Schizosaccharomyces pombe: one gene and its partners. The protein of the gene in region 1 interacts with the protein of each later gene in a pairwise test. Each region holds a gene or a part of one and is shown in the gene's direction. Other genes may lie near its edges.

Region 1 (8,489 bases):
GGATTTTGAATTTGCAAGCAAACTCCATGGCATGATGAGCAAGTTTGTTGGATCTTCTGTAGCTTCTGAAATCATTCAAGGATTCGTCCAACAGGCTAAAATAAAGCATAAGCTAGAATCAGAAAATGAGAAATAATTACAATGATCCTGCATACAAAGGGGCTATGCCGCTATTCTTTCCATCTCAGCGTTTTTCCATCGTCTCTCTTTCAACCAAAGAAGGATATATTTTTATAAAAGGTTTCTTTTAGGAAATCATGGCTTCAGTAAGCTAAATTTTGGATCCTTCTCTTCACCTTATGTATTTATTTTATTTCATTTTTTTGGATACTCGCCAATATCATGGTATAGTTTGCTTTACTGCAATTTTTTTGATGCACAACAAAAAACTTGGTAAATTATTTCTCTACTATTAAATCAAGAGCTTAGGAGGAATTCTCATTTCTTAAAGAAACTTTACTTTGACGAAACTGTATTTTTTTTTTTGTTTTAACAATATGTCTTGAATATGCCTTCCTTTTCTTGAGTCACTGATAACCAAATATATATAATTATAGGGGTGTCTCTCTTTCTATTTAGTGCTGAAATATTGCGGATGAGCTTTGCCTCTAAAGTTGATAACCAGAGATCAGGAGTCCTTGAAGGTCAACTGTTTACAAAATTATCCTTCCTTGCTTTTGAATAGAAGGTGAAATTGGTTATGGAATGCTTCATGAAGATTTGCATTCAAAATGCATCCAGAACAATCACAAGTGTTATTTAAAAGTAAAGAATCCCTGAAGGAAAGAAAAAGTGATCTATGATGATCGTTGTTAAAAAGTCTATCAAATTTGGTCTACTGAGATATATCTAGGGAAAGCAAAATCATTTAAGTAAGACAATTCATGAAATACCCGGAGCACCTTTATAGTCGACTTTTCTTTCGATGATAAACATGACATGATTTCCATTATAGCTACAGAAACGAATTTTATGAAAAACAATCTTGTGTTTACCAACATTTTAATATCGTGCTCTATTAAACTGTGCAATATGCAAATACGGTGTTTGCCGATTTGCATTAACGGGAAGTATTTCTCCAGTAAATAAATGAAGCAAAGTGTTTTTATGTAAAATCCTTTTATCGCTTTTAACTTATAAGGATTTACTTAGTATATAAAGTTGCTGAATGGAGCCTTAAAAGTTCTAGCTGTTTTTTCGTGAAATAAACTATAGCATCACCATTCCATAGGTCCATTAGAAGTTGTGGAAATTATCCATGAGCATTTTTATATAGTGAAATTAGAATAATTTTTATCATTGAAAATAAATTATTAATTTAGTTCATTTCGAGGATGAAAACAAGTTTTATTATAATATACCTCTTATTTATACCGCATTGTTTACATCGCACGATATAACCAAACGAATCCAGTTAACGATAGCTACAACAGCCATCGGTATTAAACTATAGTGATTTGATAAGATGTTTCGAAATATATACTGGATAATATAATCACTGTCCGCTATCATAACCTTAAAAAGAAATCTCCTCTACAACTGCATTACTTGTTTACTGTGATAGTACTAAGAAATTCTCCACGTAAACCAAAATCTATTTTTTTTTCGAAATCTCGTATTTTATATACATAGGTTTCCCCTGTCATTTTAAAGTTCTGATTGTTTCTTTGACCTTATGGAAACCCATTTTACAATGCATTCAGTATAACGCTATCTAATCCATTCTCATATACAGTATAACGTAGTTATAAGTATATTGATTTGCGATCTCTATCATATTACAACGAAATACAATCCAGTCTGCAAAGCCATGACTTATATGACGAACTAGCTACATTTCTTTCTCCATTAAATCGATTAAAGAAGTATGGCACAAGACGATTCTTACGAAGAGAAACCTGAAGTTATATCCAGCGACTCGGGAGGAAGTGGTTATTCAACTGAAATCCAGATCGTCGGTACAGTAACTTCCTCGGACGGTTCGTATGTTGAGTATGAAATTGTACACCAGGTATGTGGCTTGAGATCCTTGGTATCTATGAGTTTAGCTGCTAATTTTTATACTGTAGAAGCGTTCCGTTTGGCGGAGATATTCGGATTTTGAGTCCTTGGTTAAGTTGATGCGTCGGCAGTATCCCGCTGCAATTGTTCCTCCTATACCGGGAAAACAATCACTTTGTAAGTTTTCCAATATATTTAGATATAATATCTTTCATCGCGTTTTTTCATTTTCTTTTCAAACGTTTATTAACATGGGCTGTGTGCAATTCATTGTACACACATGCTCCGCTGTTTAGTAAGTTATGCCAAACATCCACGAAAAGCTAAAAGTGATGCTGAATTCTTAAATTTTCGCTCCAGGATGCTAGAATTGTTTCTTCGTCAGTGTCTTTTGCATCCATGCATTCGTTCCAATCCTATTTTCGATAAGTTTATTCATAGCACTGTTTCTTGGCACGTGACTTTATCATCTTTAGATTTACCAAAGGATTCAAATACTGATCCACTCCGCCTTCCTCCTATTGCTACTGAGCATGACCCATTCGCTCATTTGCGCTCTTCCATGCCACTTGTAATGGCCAACTCATTAAGTCCCCCTTCGTCTCGCGCATTAAAGCCAATCCATTCCTTATCTAATCCTTCAACTGCTTCGAGTTTAGAACCTTCTTCTCCTTTGGGCTCTGAGGATGAATGTCATCCCCCAACAAGCGATATGCAACCTACGCATGAATTGAATGAAAGTCCTTCTACCCCAACGGCACCAGACTTTCCACATTACAATAGCTCACCTTCGGAGTTATCTCCCACACAGCGTCGTTCCAGCATTTCTAATGGTAAAGACGCACCCTCTCCAGTACTCAAAGATTTGACTTCCTATACTCAAGAAGTGATTGTTTGTCGGAAATTCCTTCATCATAGTCTGAGTCCTTCCATACATTCAACTTTATCTAGTATTTCTAAAATGGAGTCTTGCCTTTCAAAGTTAGGATCGGCATTTCACTCTTTGACTGCTCTCAATGAAATACAATTAGCAAATCATTTGCAAGTGATTGCTAATGCCTTTGAATTCAGCGGAATGTACGCCAAGGAATTCGAACAAGAATTTAATTCCTCCGTCTATGAAAAAATGGTTCAGTCTATGCAGCTGGCGAAGTGTGCCGCAGATGCTCTTAAGTATAAGCAATTGAAGATACAACAGCGAGATTTTCTTCAAGACCAGCTCATCCACTCTAACACAATGTCTGCTACCGACTCTATGGTAGCTGCTTCACCCACGATACACCCGGCGACCAGATTGAATACTATTCAACGAGCAGTTGTCTCCCAAGCCAAAAAGGGTTACACAATTTTTGGTCGCTTACAAAACGTTTTACATGACTTTGTAGAAGGTGAAACCTCCATTAGCAAAGAAAGTCTCCAGCAGCATAAGAATACCATAGAGAATCAACTAGCGGCTGCAAATTGGGATTGTCAAAAAATTGACGAATTCATGGATGCAGAGCTTAAATTCTACAAAGAATGTCAGACGTCGCAGTGGGAAGAAATAATTAAATCTGTTCATGAATGTATCTACAAATGGGCACAAACAAATTTACAACGATGGTTGCGAACTCGTGAAGAACTCGAAAATTTATCGAAGGACATATAAGTACGTTGGGTAGGTTTGCTTATAATTGCATTCCGAGTCTTACATACTTTGTATTTTATTTTAATTTCTGCATACATCCTTTTTTATGTTTCTTTTTTACGATTTTGTTAATGACTAATAATACCACATGACAAGCCTTAACTATGAAAGTCATATTTCCCTTGGAAGATCTATCGCTTGGATAAATTTTTAAGGTCGAGTACATTTTATTAATGAAAAATTTATTTAATGCTATTATAGATTTAGAAATATTAATAATACTAAAGCATACAATGAAAGCTGTTCTTCTTTGTGAATATTCATTGTTCCTCCTCTTACCTTTTTATCAATATGTACCGACAAATCGTTTAAATCCTTTCATTTTTCTCTCTACCCTTTTTCTCTTTTTTTGTTAGTTAAAGTGTGCTCGAATAGAGCCATTTTACGAATTACTTGAATAAACAATTACTTAACAAGAACTTTAACCTTCTTTCCATATTGATCACGTACAAAAATACAATGTAATAAAAAGCTGTGGGATAAAAATGATACAAAAAAGTGATATTTATGTCAAAATATGAATGTACTGTTCAAATAAAAGGATTCCAACAAAACAAAATGTAAGAACCCGTATGTTTGTTCAGTAGTTTTATTCCTTCCCTTTGCGAAAAGGAGGTAGGATCAAGGATTCAGAGATATTACAAATGCGAGGAAAAAGAAACGCAGTCAATTCTTTTTGACAGAAGGGTGTTGATAGAATTGAATTTTTAGGAAAATCAAACGACATAAATGAGATGAATAAAACCAAAAGACATAAATCCATTGTCGGATTTACAAATTAGGGAAAAAAGGGTCCGCACAAGAGTGAGAGAAAATGAGTGTCATAAAAGGAACACCTAACTCACATTATCGTACAAATTTTATAACCAAAAGTTACAAAAGAATTTTTTAATTAAGTCGCTTAGTGAAAGAACGCTTTGCAAGGGTCCAAATGCCAGCTGCAGTGGCTACAAGCGAACTACTAATAGCCATAGCACGAAGTCCACGAGTAGATTTGTAAAGAGCACCTGTCAATGCACCAGCTGCAACACTATTTTCCCATCCATGCTTTTGGCGCTTGTAGCCTATTAAAGAATTGATTCCATTATACACGAGGGCAAGCACACCCAAGGAATTACCAACGAAAGGACCACGTCGTGTAACACCGTTCAAAATACCATTAAGGCGCAACCGTGTGGAAGTAATATCTTTAGTTTTCTTCATGCCTTCATTGAGACCCCAGAGTCCACCAATCGCCAATCCACTTAAATAAGAAGTTCCAGTACCGTAACAAAGATCATCTTGCCATCCGCGAGATGGGATAGCCATGCTATCGCCTGGAAGAGTAGAAAGAGCATCTTCCTCAATCAATAAGTAATCCAGAGGTTTATCTAAATCAGCGAGGGGATGTAACTTGGCGGGATCGAATTCAGAACCCGATAAAATATCTGAGGCTGTAGCCTCGGTAGGGACCTGCAATTCAGAAGAATCAATCTTTGAGGTTGGTTCCTCTTCTTTATTTCTTGTAAACAACCAAGACATATCTTAAAAAGTTGATTTTTCGCAAAGGCGCGATGGTGGTTGTCTGCAGGTAGCGGTGGTTACAGGAACTGTGTATTAGCACCTAAATTAAAATAGTAGAAAAAAATTGTTGAGACGTAAAAAGTGTCGCAATTATCATGAATTTACATTTATATATAAAAAAAAAGACTTAATGAATAAATCCTCGATCGTTAAATAACGCCCGAACTTATTTACTCGATCACCGCTTAAAATTCTAGACAAGTTGGGCATAGGTCCATCGATAAAACAATAGAATAGAAGAAACTATAAAACTTTTTTTTATGAGAGAACAAACAACGAAAATACAAAAAATATAACACTAAGTATTATCAATTATACAGTTACGCAAAGCAAGCATAAGACCGTTGTGAATTAAATTTACGTCCAGACAAATCAAAGGTCTCTATTAATATTAATATGCCATTCACATTAAGAGCCAAACCAAAGCGTGTTAAAGGAATACATTGAATCCGTAAATATCCTAAGTACGAACAGGTAAAGAAAGCTAAAGTAGATATCTAACAACAACAAAAAACGAAACTTGCTAGCTCAAAATCACAAAACCATATTCAGCACATTTAAACGACCCAAAACGAAAGAAGGCCTTTAAATTTCTTTGAGCGCAAAAGTAAGACTGGGAATTTAAGCAGTCTATTTGAGGACATACTTGCGAAAAGCAAAGTAAGCAACAACCATCACAAGGACAAAGAGCCACATAGCAGGCTTAACTGGTTGAGAAGAATCATATCCACTTCCACCAGCGGCAGCACCAGTTGTGGGAAGCTGAGGGCCATCTTCAGTCTAAAATATGTTAGAGTGTCGAAGCAAATTTTTACAAAAATTTTAACGAGCCTATGGCGAACGAAGAGAAAAAATAAATGACATACTCTGAGCAAGTTTCCAATGTAAAATTTTTCGAGCAACTCCTGAGCATCCTCAGAGTGACCAACATCCTCGAAAGGACCGCTAGCATCACGACCTAAAACAAGTTAATAATCACAGAAACGAACAAAAAAAAGCCCCTAGCGATGGTAGAGAAAGGCAGAAACTTTGTATAGCCAATCCAAAAGCCGTATGTGAAGAATCGAAGCGATATCGTCAATCAATCTTTCCAAAATTATGTATTTCAGTGTATTCAGAGTACTGGAAATACAAAACATCGAGTAGAGAGCGATCAATCTTGGAACATATAGACTGTACTTAACAATTCACCTTCAATGACAATGTCGCATTAAACATCGTATTTATTCAGGATATCGCATCTATTTTTGTACGTTCCTACGGCAAAGATTCGTCCTGAATCTTTCAAATTAAAGAACATGTGTATATGCGACACCTAAACTCTCGTGAAATTCAAAGTTTTGTAACGCTAGTTGTCTGAAACTTCGATTTCTACGACTCCACACAATCGCGACCAATTTTTATGCATTACAACCAATCTTCCTCAAGACCTCCATTATCGCGTACCCCTAAAAATTTACTTACCGGCCAAATCAACAAGAACCTCTTCACCACCAGGGTGAGCGTCAAGGAACTTGGAAATATCATACACCTTGTCTTTTACAACAATGTACAAATCATCACGAGTGTTATGTTTTAACACTTCTTCAACAGTAATTGTCTTCTCTGCCATGATCAAGTTCTGCTTATTCTTCCTTAAAGGTGGTATTTAACGGTTATAACCCAGGAGCTAATTACTCTCGAGATGTTGGTTGCAAATGCCCTATCGCGATTTATCTAGCAGGTGGGAAGTAGAAATGAGCCGATTCTTACTGGCAGGTGGTCACGTGGATTCGAGTTGGAAGGTACACCCAAGGATATGAACTTACCCAAAACCTATATCATTCTTCAGTTAACCAACTCCACCATTTTGGAGGTGTAGTGTTTATATTTGAATGGCAATATAATATTTAAATCAATTTAGGACGCTAATCAAGTTAATTTTTGTTCACATCTTTGCTGTTTCGTTGGAGCCGTAAACTACTTTGTGACAAACCATCAACTACTCAGAATTTGTCTATCACCCAAAAACTTAACAAAAAATTTTTATTTGCTCTTTTTGATCCAACCTTCTTCCTCTCCTTTTGATTTTATACGAAAAATATGCTGGGTGCATTTAACTCGACTTTGGCTCGCTTTGGCGGTCTTGTTCATAAAGTACCTTGGAGATTATCCCAGCGAAGAAAATATCGTCACCGTCAACGACTTCGTGCCGTCGATGAGGTGGTAGATGTTTTGCGCACGGCGTTGCAAGAGAAAAATCAATCGTGCAAACGAATTGAAAGTTTCGTTGCTAACCATCAGCCTGAATCCCAAATGTCACCAAAGGATAAATACACTATGTTTACCAGGAAGACTCAAGGTGCCGGTCTCCAAGGCTTCCGCAAGGGTGTCCATAAATCACCAAAATGGACCCGTAGTACTAATCGTGTTAATCCCACTGGCTTTTAAAAACGTCTGGTTGCAAAAGTTTACTACTTTTTTTTTCATAATTTTAATGCTCTATGAATAATAAATGTAATGGATTATTTTAATAGCTTATTTTATTACTTTTTTATTGCAAAAACTCCCACCTCTTCCTCGTCTTCGTTCATATTCAATTTCCAGTTTCATACATATTCAAACAAACGACATTAGCCTTTAGTTAGAGTAAAGTTCATATCACCTCTATTATACGTCTCTTTAATTCTTTGCTCTGTAAAACAATACATAAGCAGACGATGTGACAATATCCTCCGGATCTATTTCACAAATAGCTGTATCATCAAACTTAAAGAATGTTTGGCTCGATGCATCTCTTGCATAGGCAGTATAATGACCATTACTCATAAACCCGTGATGATTGTCCACTGCATACAAATCGTAAAGCATCGATTTCTGTGACGATAGCCACTCATGATCTTTTATAAATGGACTCAAAAATTGCTTCAAATTGAGATCAAATACTGGATAAACTACTAAATCCCTTCGTTTACGTCTTCTCCGCAAATCTCCACCGTGGCCGCTGAATCGATTTAAATGAATGACTAGTATTTTTGGCAATCGCCAGATCTCCAGCCGTTTTGTTGCCGGTCGAAATGCCTTACACCCAGGACAATACCAGGAATCCTGTAAATCAAGCTGCTCTGGCTTGGAAAACTCCAGTAAACAATCTTCAAGGGTGATGGACTCCATATGGAACTGAATTTTTTCAAATATCCATTCGCAGTTATAAAATAACTTTTCATATTGTTGATCGTTCCATAGACACATAATTACA
Region 2 (6,124 bases), on another chromosome or scaffold:
TGTTCTGCGCTTAAGGTCCTTCCTTTAACAATGGGATACCCTTGAAATACGTTAATAAAATATAAAATAAGAAATTAAATAATTTACCTGCATGATTTGAAAGCTCTACAGTTGGAATTGCATCTACGTCCCAACCTAAAAGCTGAAGTGGAAATGTAGCAGCACGATTTCCTACATATCCATGACAAACAGAAGACTATAATGTTGTTAGTTTCAAAGAAAATTATATTTTTTCAACCTGAATCGCTAAAATACGCTTTGTTGTATTCATCCTATATGGTATTGGGTTATCCTCAAGGCGTAGAACTGGATAAGCATGCTTTTGTATAATAGATGATAGCGATATATGATATTGAGCGTTGTCGAAAAACGAATAGTTACCTGAGTTTTAAACAAATATAAACAGACTTATTCTTTTAAGAAGAGATAAATTGACTACTGTTATTTTCTGAATGCTGCCTAAAACATATATTGGAATAACTTACTAAATACTCTTCAAATTAAGGAAAAGCATAAGCTACAATTTCTACCCCTACAAGTAACGATTTTCCTTTTTTTTTACTTCCTCAAAACGGTCTTCTCGAACAGTATGTTCTCAAAAGTTTTCCGACTTTTTATCTCATAAAAAAGAAATTCAATGTTTCTCATGCATGACCTTTAAATTTCTCTTTGAAAAATCATGTGAAGCTTACTTAAAGAGATGTTTCAAATTTCTCTTTATGAAACGAGTATTTATCGGATTTATTGGATATCCACTTATGAAACACTACAGCAGAGCAAAACTTTCAAATAATTGTTTTATTATTTTAAAAGCTATTCCAGAAAAATTTGTTTAATTTAAGGCGTAAATTTCGCGCTAATTTTCCTAGAAATGACTGAAAGGTCGATTTTGTTTACGTCTTTTTGCATCATCCTTTCAAAGCTAAGAAGTTATCGCAAACTATTTCTCCATTATATTGGATTTATTTTATTTTGGAACATACAAACATGAAATTGAATGTGAAGAAATATGTATGTAGCTTCGTCTTTTAAGGGAATTTAATAAAAAGGATAATCAACTTAATTTTTTGCGACAAAACTAATTATGAAGCACATTCTTTTGAATCAATTTATCCAAAAAAGTAATAAATTCAACAGTGACAAGATGTAAGCATTATACGGAATACAACGACTCGAAATACATGGAATTGTATAACTTAATCACTCATTTAAACTTTTACAGAAATCTTCGGCTGAAATATACGGGGTAAAATAGGGCTTTTAATTGTAAAGCTTAGAGCCTGAATAAGTATGCTTTCCTTTATTTTAACATTCCTCAATTTGTTTTCAAGTACTTCACATACCTAGGAAGAATGCTAAATAAGGTACAGTGGGAAAACAACGTTGGTTGATTGTTAGTTTGACTTGCTAAGCTCGTAACTTTGAGGATATGGGCTACAATTTACGTAGAAAGGTAATTTATTAAGCCTAAGGATGGTTGCTTGCTCATTAAAATTGTCCCAATCCTACATATACGCTTTAAACTATATGAACCTCATCTTTTGTCGAAAAAGAAAGTACAAATCCTTCCTCATAAGAAATGTTCGGCAATCTCTTCTTTTTCAACTTTCAGCCTAAAATCGATATGACTACAGAATTTGAAATAGGGAATTGCATTTCTTACTAGTACTATTTAAATGTGTAAAGCTTTCTGGATTACCATCAGACCCTCATTTAAAAATGATATTTATATTATATGCTGATTCTTTAGGAAACAGCAAATGGACGACTTTCTGAATGTGATTTTTTTAACCATCATGTAAATCTAAAGTAGACTGTTGCTAATAACAGTTTCGTACGAAGAACAGAACTTTTTTAAAAATCTAATCTAAATTTGTCATAAATCTTTCGGAAAACCTTTTGAAGCATAAAAATCCCAGTTGAGTTAATGTAGTAACAATCATGTGTATGTACTCATACCTAACCATCACATTCCAGTAATCCACCTAACATCTTAACAACTCTCCAGCACACATACACACACATCATTATTTCAAGTCATTTCACACTTAAATTCACTTACAAACATCTAGAATAATTTTTGATTGAATCGTATTTTATTCATCTGAAAACCGACTGAGATTTAGTATTGTTTCCTTCGTATTGCATTTTTTACATTCGTCTTCTTTGGAAGTGGCGTACTAAGCCTTTTATTTGATTCCATCATACTTGTGAAGTATCCTTAAGCATCCCATGTCTGATTCTGTGAATTTGGACGAACCTTCAACTAATAGTACTCACTTTCTACAATGTTTAGTTACAGAACCTAGAAAGGAGCTACAGGGATCTCGAGACACTCATGTATCTTATCTAATCATCACTAAGGTAAGTCTTATTTTTGAAAAGTAACTGATGAATTATTTTTTGGAAATGTGCTTACTCTATGTTACTAGACCAATCTTTCGATTTTCACACGTGCGGAATGCAAGGTTCGTCGTCGTTTTTCTGATTTTGTGAAGCTTCAAGAAATATTATCACGAATGAATGAGGATTGTGTAGTCCCTCCTCTTCCCGCTAAACATAAACTTGGTATGCGTGCAATTAAATAGAAACTCGTTAGTGCAGTGATTCCGATGTCTTTGACTTTTCAATGATTCGTCACTAACACTTTTTGTAGAATACATCAAAGGAGGTCGGTTTTCAGATAATTTCATAAATCGAAGAGCCAAGCTGTTGAATCGTTATATTACACGTTGTGCTCTTCATCCTGTGCTGCACCAATCGCCTCATTTCATTGCATTTTTAGAAAATCCAAATTGGAATAATTATGTTCGATTCTTTATTCAGCCGAAATTGAATAACACATCGAAGTTGGACGAAATCTCGGATTCCTTGCTAAATGCGTTTTCCAAGCTGAAGGAAGAACCCACTGAGTTTGATATCCAACGCGACCATGTGCAACAGTTTATGTTTGGAATATCTAATTTGGAAGGATCCATTCAAAAGCTTTTACGTTTAGAGAAGGCTCTAGAATCTGATTATGAGGATGTTTCGATTCAGTTTGATCGATTGGCATCCTTGGATCAAGCTTTAGATGTGCCTATTGAATCCATTCAGAATGCATTGCAACAAACTGGCACAGAGTATGCTAATCTTACAGAAAAATTAACTTTATTGTTGGATACAATTAAAGACGTTGAATCTTACGCTCATTCCTTGAAAGAACTCTTGAAGCGCCGCGATCAAAAACAGCAGGATGTCGAGGCACTTCAAGAGTATTCTGCAAAGCTTTCTTTAGAGCGCGACAAAATATCTTCTGGCGGCTCTAATGGTTTCAGTTTATCCAAAACTCTGGACGACTTGCGTGGTATCGATCACAACGATACTAGATTAAAGCGCTTAGAACATGTACAATCGGAATTGCAGGCAGTTGAGCAAGCTATTCAAGAAGCATCTGCCGTTCATGACGCTTTCAACCAAAGGGTTCGAGAAGAATCTAAGCTTTTTGATTCCGTTCGTCAAAGCGAGATGCTTAGTGCTATTTCCGATTACGCTAATGTTCATGTAGAGTTTTTTACAAATATTCGCGACCTTTGGATACGTGTTAAGCAATAGGTTACTTTACTCAAGCCCCACAGCATATGTTGTTTTGATCATGTCTCGATTAATGAATCATTGACCTGCTTTTCTTTTTTAATTTCTAAATATTTATTAATGATAATGATTGTGCATGACTTCGCTGATTACTTTTTTTATCATCAACAATTTCATAATCGGGAAACTTTTTTTGTCTGTATTTGTTTGTAAGTTTATTATGATTATTATTAGAAAAGAAATAAAATAAAAAATGAATTGAATAAATTAGAGAAAAAACAAACAGTGGGGTATAAGAATCGTAAAAATGAAAAAACCGGTATTGCAAATAGTAAAAAATTAGAAACATATTAATGGTAATTCTTGCACGATAATAGCACTCAAACATCTTAATACCATCTACTATTGAATGAGGATCCGTACTTTTTCTTAACCTTCTTAAGTTCCTCCCTTATTTTCTTGCTATCAAAAAAAGCATTTGATTTTTTAGGAGACAAACTGCGGCCTTTTTGCATTAATGACTTTTCAATCAACTCCTTTTGCTTATTTTGACATTCTTCTGCTTCTATTTCATACAACAATTGAGATTGTCGTTCTCTCAAGGGTTCGGGAATAGGTTCTGAAACCAAATCCACTTCTTCATCGAGAACTTCAAATCCAACAGCAGCTAATAAAATTGGCATTGATTCTCTATAAGCCAAATGTCCCGAGACAAGATTAGTAACATCGATGTTTTCTATCCCCGGAATACAATCTATTTGACGCAAACCCGCAACTCGCCCAATGCCACCAGAAGTGGCTCGAAAAAGATAGCCAAGGATCCAATCATTCTTTTTGTAACCATTGACAAACCTTCCAGAAACGACAGATGCAGCTTTAAGCCAAGAAGTACGTTTAAAAATAACAGGGGTGCCGAACAAATATACATTTTCAATGATGCTAAACTCTTTTTTTTTCTCTAATTCTCGCAAACAATAGTAAATAACACGAGCCCCCAAAGAATAACCAACTAAGGTGACTGGGCGGACGCCAAGGGACCGATAACATAGCATATCGGCTAAAAGCTGACCGGTAGCCTTAGCACGGTCTAAAGAATTATTCCACGGATTGTCAATTAGATATCCTAGCTTCGTTAATATCAAGGGCCACTGTAAGGCACCCATTAGAGAAACTAAGACGGTGGATCCCAATACCTGTTGAAGAGACTGTGTAACCACTTCTGTTGCCAAAATGTTCATAGTCTGACCAGCAGAAGCAAGCATTTCGGGCTCCCAAAAAACAGAATAAATATCACCCACGATAGGATCAAGTGTAGCAAAAGAAAGACGGACATCATCTTCTTTACTTAACATCCAACCGGAAACGGTGACGATGACATTGGCTCGTCTCTGTGCATGTAGCGGTCTAAATTCAAAAGTTTTAACATCGGCTTTTCGATGAGCCATGCCAGTTGTACCAATATGAGCTCCTGAAATTGCACCGCCAGCAGTAATTAAAGCAGCACTACCACCCCCGGCTAAAAAACCAGACGTAGCAACTCCAGATAAGCCAACAGTGGTGAAAGCAGCTCCAATGCCTGCACTAATAATAGGAGCCAGTAATCCAGAAGAGAGACCGATCACTAGGCCGCCTCCGATACCTGCTAGGCCCATTAGTATATACTTTTTACGCCTTGATACTTTACGCCGCAATTTCATGACCGCTTCAGTGTTTGCACTTGAGCCGGCTTCTAATTCGCCGGTATCGTCAATCTGAATTGTTTCAACAATATGTTTTTCAAACTTTGCAACATCAAACTCATTAATGTCAAGAACCTCGCCAACAGCCATAAGTAGAGAACGTGACCGACAATCGTAAAGCGATTTAGAAATGAGGACCAGAAAAAGATCACACAACACAGTCCAACGAACATCAATTTGTACCGGTTTCTCTTTCCCTAGGCTACTTAGACTATCGCTGGACTCAACTTCGTCAACAAGCACTGCATCAAGGCTACTGACTGTTTGAGCTCTATGGGCAGAAACTAAAATCTTGGACAAGTCATCTATTTGGACTGAATGTTTGTGAAGATTTTCTATCATCTTCTGTTCCTCTACTGTGACGCCGAGATGTTCATATATGCATGAAGTGGTTTTGTCAGCCCACATAATGGTGTCTTCTAATGCGGCCTTACATTCACCTCGATACCATGGCAAAGTTGTAAAACATGCAATTTTATCAACCATTTTTAAAATTAAAAGCCGACATACGCCAGCGTATGCCATTTTCTCGGTTTCAGAGAGTATGTTGCCAGTGATTTCCAATTGACTATCCATGCTAATTTCTTCGTTGCCATGATCAGCAATGTCTAATAATTTAATGGCTTCACTGTCTAACTGATGCTTTTGATCGTCGTCTTCATCACGAAAAACTCGGGTGTAGCGAGGTTCAAGCTCACTCTCTTCAACTTTTTCAGTTTCTTTCTTTTCTTCTATTATTTCATTATCATCATCGATATCATTGATTAAATGGGTTGGTTCCAACGATATAACTTCCATTGGTTGCCAATTGC
Region 3 (5,920 bases), on another chromosome or scaffold:
TCTACAAGGGCTTCATCGGCCCATTCCTCTAATGTAACGCCGTCAGCCTCCGAAACCTGAGGGGGTTCGTATATAGCTTCAATCACTCCCTTAATTCCTAAAGGAACGTTATTGTATTGTTCGAAATGTCCATACGTATAACCAATCCTTTGAAAACCGGATTGACGCCATTTATTGAGAAACGAATCGACAATGCCGGGAGAAGCAAATTCAATATGATCAATAACACGAAATGGTTGGAGATTGAGCATTACAGTTGATGGTTGGCATTTGGTACAAATCCCAGCGGGCCAAGGAGGATGACCAGAAGGACACTTTTCTTTCACTGTAAAACTAGGCTCCTCAAGAGGAGGAATAAACGATTGAGAGCTAGCATATTTATTCACATTAGAGTTTATTTTTCTCAAATAAGCATGAAAGGAAAGGTGCTTGATTTTATTTTCTTGTCGATAGGATTCATCATACGGTTCTAAAGGCGAGCAATAGTCGCACATTCCTTTAGGGCCGTGCCGACATAAAGAGGTCATGGAACGACGTATCAAGCCATCTTCTTTTTCTAAAGAATCATCAATGGGATCTTGAATGACAGGCATAGAAGGTTTTTTTTCTGAAACATCAGGTGTGGAAACCTGCTTTGGGGCACCAGTTACAGTGAGAGCAGGTTCATTGTTTGATGAAGCAATATCACTATTTGGTGTACCAAGTCTTAAGTAAAGCATTTGACCGTGAGTCAATCCAGCATCTTGAAGAGTTTGATCATTCAGGTTGGAAAAAATGACACCCTGGTCAGATTCATTCTGGCAAAGAGAAACATTTTCGGGAGAGTAGTCGTTTTTAAGTATATCAGACAAAATCTGATTTGTTAGATAACCATTCGTTTTGAAATATTTCAATAATTTTGCAGGAAATTACGTACCTTTGCAGACAGCATAGCCAAAGTATCAGTTGGCTGAAATTCTGCACGGGCCATCCCCCGTTTGCTGCGAAAGCGCAAAATCTTTAAACTGTTAGTAACAATATTTAAAACGATTGCTTTGCATACCATTTCGAAGCAAGAGTAAAGGTGAAGGATGAGCAAACTAAGCTTACGACTATGTAAGCTATTAAAATAGGTGAAGTGCAGCTTCGTTACATTTTTGAAAAATTCGTTAATAACAATAACGATTGAACAGACGCCGTAGTGTATATCTATATATGTATTACTTTAGGTCGTAATTCTCAAATAACGTAACAAAATTTTCAAAGAACTATCACAGGTATAACGAAAAATACACAATATGTCGGTTTAAAGTTGAAATATAGTTTTTAAATATCTAGTGTTGGTATGATTTAAATCCGACTAATAATTTAGATAATTGAATCTGCTAGAATTTACATTTGGTCAATTCCACTTGCTGAGTAGATGGTATTAATTTTCGGAATTGCGCACAGCTTGAAAATATGCATCCAATAGAAAGCATATCTATTGCATATTTTCAAAGAAATTTATTTTAAGCTAATTTAATTCGAATCAAAGCTGCATTTATTTTTTTTACAGGAAAAATGTAACTATGTTAAAGCTTGAAGCTCAATAATTTTATGCATTTCTGTTTGTTTATCATGGCTCACGATTGTAAGCATTACGATATGAAAAGTTGTAGATTTCAATTCTCTCAATTGATAATTGTTTATTAAATTCCTTTTCCTTAACAAGTTTATCAATATTGCTACCGTTTTGCGTGATTCTTCTCTAATATCTTTGCTAATTGAACGCTTGACATAGCTTGTGCTCCAATGGATCTTTACGTAGTCAGCACCAACTACAAAATTCTGTGGAAATAGCAATTGCAAAAATATCTGAAGAATTTTGTAGTTACATTCATTGTTATTTGTTTAAAAAAAATCTTAATTGCTTTGTAAAGAACTTCGAATCAGCTGTATTATCTTGTACTTTAAAAATATTGGGTCGCAAGATTACCAATCTCTTTCATGACATGTAAGCAATGCTGAAATGTACAATTAAAAATGAGCAAATCGAAACTTTAAGAAGCGGAGATACATTCGTCTCTTATGAAATTGAGACTGAATCGGATCTGCCAGTTTTTGAAGATAAAAAGTTCTCTGTTCGTCGGAGATATAAGGATTTTGAGATGCTTCATAATATTTTGAGCCATGATTATAATGGTTATGCAATCCCTCCGCTACCGAGAAAATATACTGTTAGTTCTTTCTCTGGTGGTTCATTATCTCCCATATTCATTGCTCGTCGAATGCAATCCCTCCAAACGTTTCTGGATCGATGCTCCACACACCCTGTAATTTCCAATTCTATGCATATGTATCAATTTTTGGAAAATAACTCTTGGAAATCTTATTATCATAACGCGTGGATGCAATCCGAAAACACTAAGTCCAAGGGCAATAACGTATCCGGAGGAATTGAATCATCAATTCAAAACTTAGACCCGTATGCTCAAAGCTTGTATGAAACAGCAAAACAGCTTCTCCAAAATGCGGATACGGATCTCTCAAAGTTGGAGAAAACCTGTGTTCAATACATGAATAGTGTTCAAAATTTTCCTACTGATATTCCTGTCCCTTCTAATTTAAGCATCAGTAACCTCGATGTTGTCTCTGTAGAATTTAAAAGACTAAAGAGAAACAGCATTTTTTTAATAAACTCTTTTCATTCTAAGGTAATTACATCTATTCAAGATTTGGAAGATTACATGGTGGTTTTTAAGAGTTTGATCAAATCTCGTGAACAAAAGGTGAAGCAATTTGAACATTTCCAACAAATCGTTCAATCTAACTCTAATAACCCTGATCAATCATCACGATCTGACCCAAACTTTGTAGAAGCCACTCCCGTTGTGCAGCAGACACCTGAGCTTAAACCGTCGCCCAACACTACTATACGTACCTCGAGTTTATTCAGTATTCCAAAATTTTTTAAAAAAAAGCGGTACTCATTAGGTCAAGACGATGCTAATCCCATGGAGTTGCTTCAATTATCGTTTCAAGAATTATGCATTTTCAACGAAAAACTTGAGCAAGAGTTAAATTTTCTACGCGAACGTATCGATGTTGAAATGCGTAAGACATTACAAATGGTTTGCGATTGTCATGTGGAATATTTTTCTGGTATTCTTGAGCAGCATGCCGTGAAGGAATAATAGTTCCTCGTTATTAACCTACTACTGTATAGAGGCTTTTGAGTTTTTAAGTAAGTGTTTTATAACTTGGCGTATGATGCTTTAACGTTTGTTTTACAATGTGTGATGTTTACGATATTTTTTATGCGACTTGAACTAATATTAATGAAAATTTACGAATCTGAGATTAATTTATTACTTTTTTATGCAGTCGAAAACATGACTTATTAATTTTCGTTAAATTTGCTCATGTTCTCAAATTAAAGTACAAGGAATGCAAAAATGTAATGACATTTCTATAATTCTTAGACAACTTTAAACTTCCCAACGTGGAATTGTTTCTTTCTTTGCTAAAGGAATGGATGATGTCTCCTTCGTACTTACTTCTTTCTGTTGTGCATAGATTTTATTTTGTTCTGAGCTTTAAAAAAATATAGCTCAGTAAAGAGGGATTATCAACAGTATAGGTTTTGTACTAACAATAAAATCTTCTGTGCCTTTTTTTAAGTATATGCATTTCCCTGTTCTGCTTTAATTTTATAAGATTATAGTCATCTCCGTCCGAAGGATGACAGTGATTTATATCTCAAACTATGCTTCTCAAACATGATTGATCTATATAATAATACAAGTAATTTCAATTGAGTGGTTTGAATTTTGCATTTTTGATGAGGACTTCACACACTACAATACTTTTTAGAAATAACTGATGGGTTCATTAAAGTTCTTCAATTCTCATTATTCGGTAGAAGTTGAAGATCTGTAAAATTTTTATAAGACTATAAAATGATGTCTATTTAAACAAATATTATCAGAGATTTACCATAACTGACATTAATAGGATAAAGATTATAAGTTAGCAGATATTCACTATGACTATTTGCCCAATAACATGTTTTGTTGAGATGTCTTGGTATTTCAAGTTAAATATACTGATGAAAATTGTTTTAGAAATATTCAATAATAAAGAAATTGTTATTATTGTAACATGAATTTAAACCATCACCTATCAGTACAAACGCAGCCCAACGCTTTACAAAGGGCTGCACGCTAACACTATGCTGGGAGTTTATAAAGTCATCATATATAATCATATCTTCGTCAGATGGGTTGGTAATCTTTGCAAGATAAATTTCCTTTCCCCTTCATGCAAATTCCTTAGAATTCACCTCACTCTGGTCAAAGAATATATTTTTTTGGATGCATAGTCTTTTCAAGCAGCTAGTTTTTTTCCTGGTAATGACGCTAACTGCAGCTGACAAGGCTGCATTTGATGCGGAATCCATGCTAGAAGCTCCTAGAAGGTCAGCAGTAGTTAGCAATCCTTTAGGGAATCTTGGAATATTTATAGAATCGAATTATTCCTTTGCTGATCACAAATATAACTCTGGAATTTACCTTTTGAATGAAAGCACTAGAAACCATCAAGAGCTTTTAGTACACGGCAAATCAAACAAAGCGCTCACATGGATTACTGATTCAGCTTTTTTATATGCAAGAGAAGATAATTCTAGCTCATCGAGTATCCTTCTTTTTGACGTTAACAATCGATCAGAGCGTATCATATATAATCATAACTCTTCAATATCTGATATAAGGATCGGAGAAAAGAACAACCACTATAGAATCGTTTTTAGTTCAGTGGATAATTCGTTAGTTAAGGGACCTTCAAATGTTCACGTATACGATCACTTGTTTGTTCGACACTGGGATAGATGGAACACAGGATCTAGGAATACCCTTTATTTTATAGAGCTAGATAAAAAAACGGAAAACTCAAATTATTTTGAAATTTCCTCAGAAAAAGCTATTGATTTGTTGAAGGAAACTGGCTTGGAATCTCCTGTCGAACCCTTCGGAGGTCTTTCTGACTTTGATTCTAACTACGACAAACTTGTCTTTGTAGCAAAAGACCCGAAATTAAATCCGGCAACACAAACAAAGACAGTTGTTTACGAGATTAATCTGAACACTCGGAATCTGAAGTCATTGAGCACTGCGAAGGGTGCATGCTCTTCACCAAGACTAGCCAAAGATGGAAATCATATTGCATGGCTTGAAATGCAAACACCACAGTACGAAAGCGATCAAAATCAAATAATGGTATATGAGTCCGAGTCAGGCGCTAAAAAGCACATTGCTCGTCATTGGGACCGATCGCCTTCCAGCATTGAATGGGGGGTTTTCAAAGGAGGCGAACCAGGTCTTTTTGCTATTGCTGAGAATTATGGGAAGCAAATTTTGTTTTTTGTTTCTATATTTCACCACCAAGTTATCCCAATGACAGAAGAACACTCTGTTTCTTCTATTAGTGTCCCTAAATCTTCTTCCTTATGGCTTACGAAGTCATCTTTAATCAATCCCCCTTATTACGCAAAGATTAACGTTGAAACGTTAAACGAAAGTGTTTTACTCGAGAACAATGTCGGATTATCGCCAACTTCTTATGAAGAAATTTGGTTTCCTGGCACTCATGGTCACAGAATTCATGCATGGATTGTAAAGCCCGAAAGTTTTGATAAATCTAAAAAATATCCTGTAGCAGTGCTTATACACGGGGGACCTCAAGGTTCTTGGACAGATAGTTGGTCAACGCGCTGGAATCCTGCAGTTTTTGCTAATGCTGGTTTTATTGTATTTGCTCTTGATCCTACTGGATCTACAGGTTATGGACAACGTTTTACCGATTCCATTGCTCTTGATTGGGGTGGTAAGCCATATAAAGATATTGAACTTGGTGTTGAGTACATAAAAAATCATCTTTCCTATGCTGATTCTGAAAAAAT

What was found.
Region 2: the proteins of atg20 (region 1) and atg24 interact in a two-hybrid assay, tested with the Schizosaccharomyces pombe proteins (one study listed by BioGRID).
Region 3: the proteins of atg20 (region 1) and atg2402 interact in a two-hybrid assay, tested with the Schizosaccharomyces pombe proteins (2 studies listed by BioGRID).

What each region holds. Positions count from the first base shown.
Region 1 is NC_003421.2:881,525-890,013, forward strand, and holds atg20 (sorting nexin Atg20), read left to right. Parts: upstream 1-1,847; 5' UTR 1,848-1,867; coding exon 1,868-2,011; intron 2,012-2,069; coding exon 2,070-2,178; intron 2,179-2,297; coding exon 2,298-3,649; 3' UTR 3,650-4,164; downstream 4,165-8,489. Other genes in the region: ubiquinone-binding protein Coq10, read left to right, coding at 1-136; TIM23 translocase complex subunit Tim23, read right to left, coding at 4,577-5,209; oca8 (cytochrome b5), read right to left, coding at 5,882-6,031, 6,118-6,209, 6,716-6,863; mrpl31 (mitochondrial 54S ribosomal protein mL60), read left to right, coding at 7,334-7,681; ubiquitin hydrolase Ubp1, read right to left, coding at 7,913-8,489. UniProt on the Schizosaccharomyces pombe protein: Required for cytoplasm to vacuole transport (Cvt), pexophagy and mitophagy. Also involved in endoplasmic reticulum-specific autophagic process and is essential for the survival of cells subjected to severe ER stress.
Region 2 is NC_003424.3:2,752,536-2,758,659, forward strand, and holds atg24 (autophagy associated protein Atg24), read left to right. Parts: upstream 1-1,987; 5' UTR 1,988-2,232; coding exon 2,233-2,364; exon of another isoform or gene 2,365-2,432; coding exon 2,433-2,568; exon of another isoform or gene 2,569-2,656; coding exon 2,657-3,594; 3' UTR 3,595-3,845; downstream 3,846-6,124. Other genes in the region: SPOM_SPAC6F6.11C (pyridoxine-pyridoxal-pyridoxamine kinase), read right to left, coding at 1-40, 88-196, 239-271; SPOM_SPAC6F6.13C (uncharacterized protein), read right to left, coding at 3,963-6,124. UniProt on the Schizosaccharomyces pombe protein: Sorting nexin, involved in the separation or division of vacuoles throughout the entire life cycle of the cells.
Region 3 is NC_003423.3:2,153,291-2,159,210, forward strand, and holds atg2402 (autophagy associated protein), read left to right. Parts: upstream 1-1,787; 5' UTR 1,788-1,982; coding exon 1,983-3,155; 3' UTR 3,156-3,641; downstream 3,642-5,920. Other genes in the region: ubiquitin ligase complex subunit Npl4, read right to left, coding at 1-854, 917-997, 1,043-1,045; ppp16 (acylpeptide hydrolase), read left to right, coding at 4,335-5,920.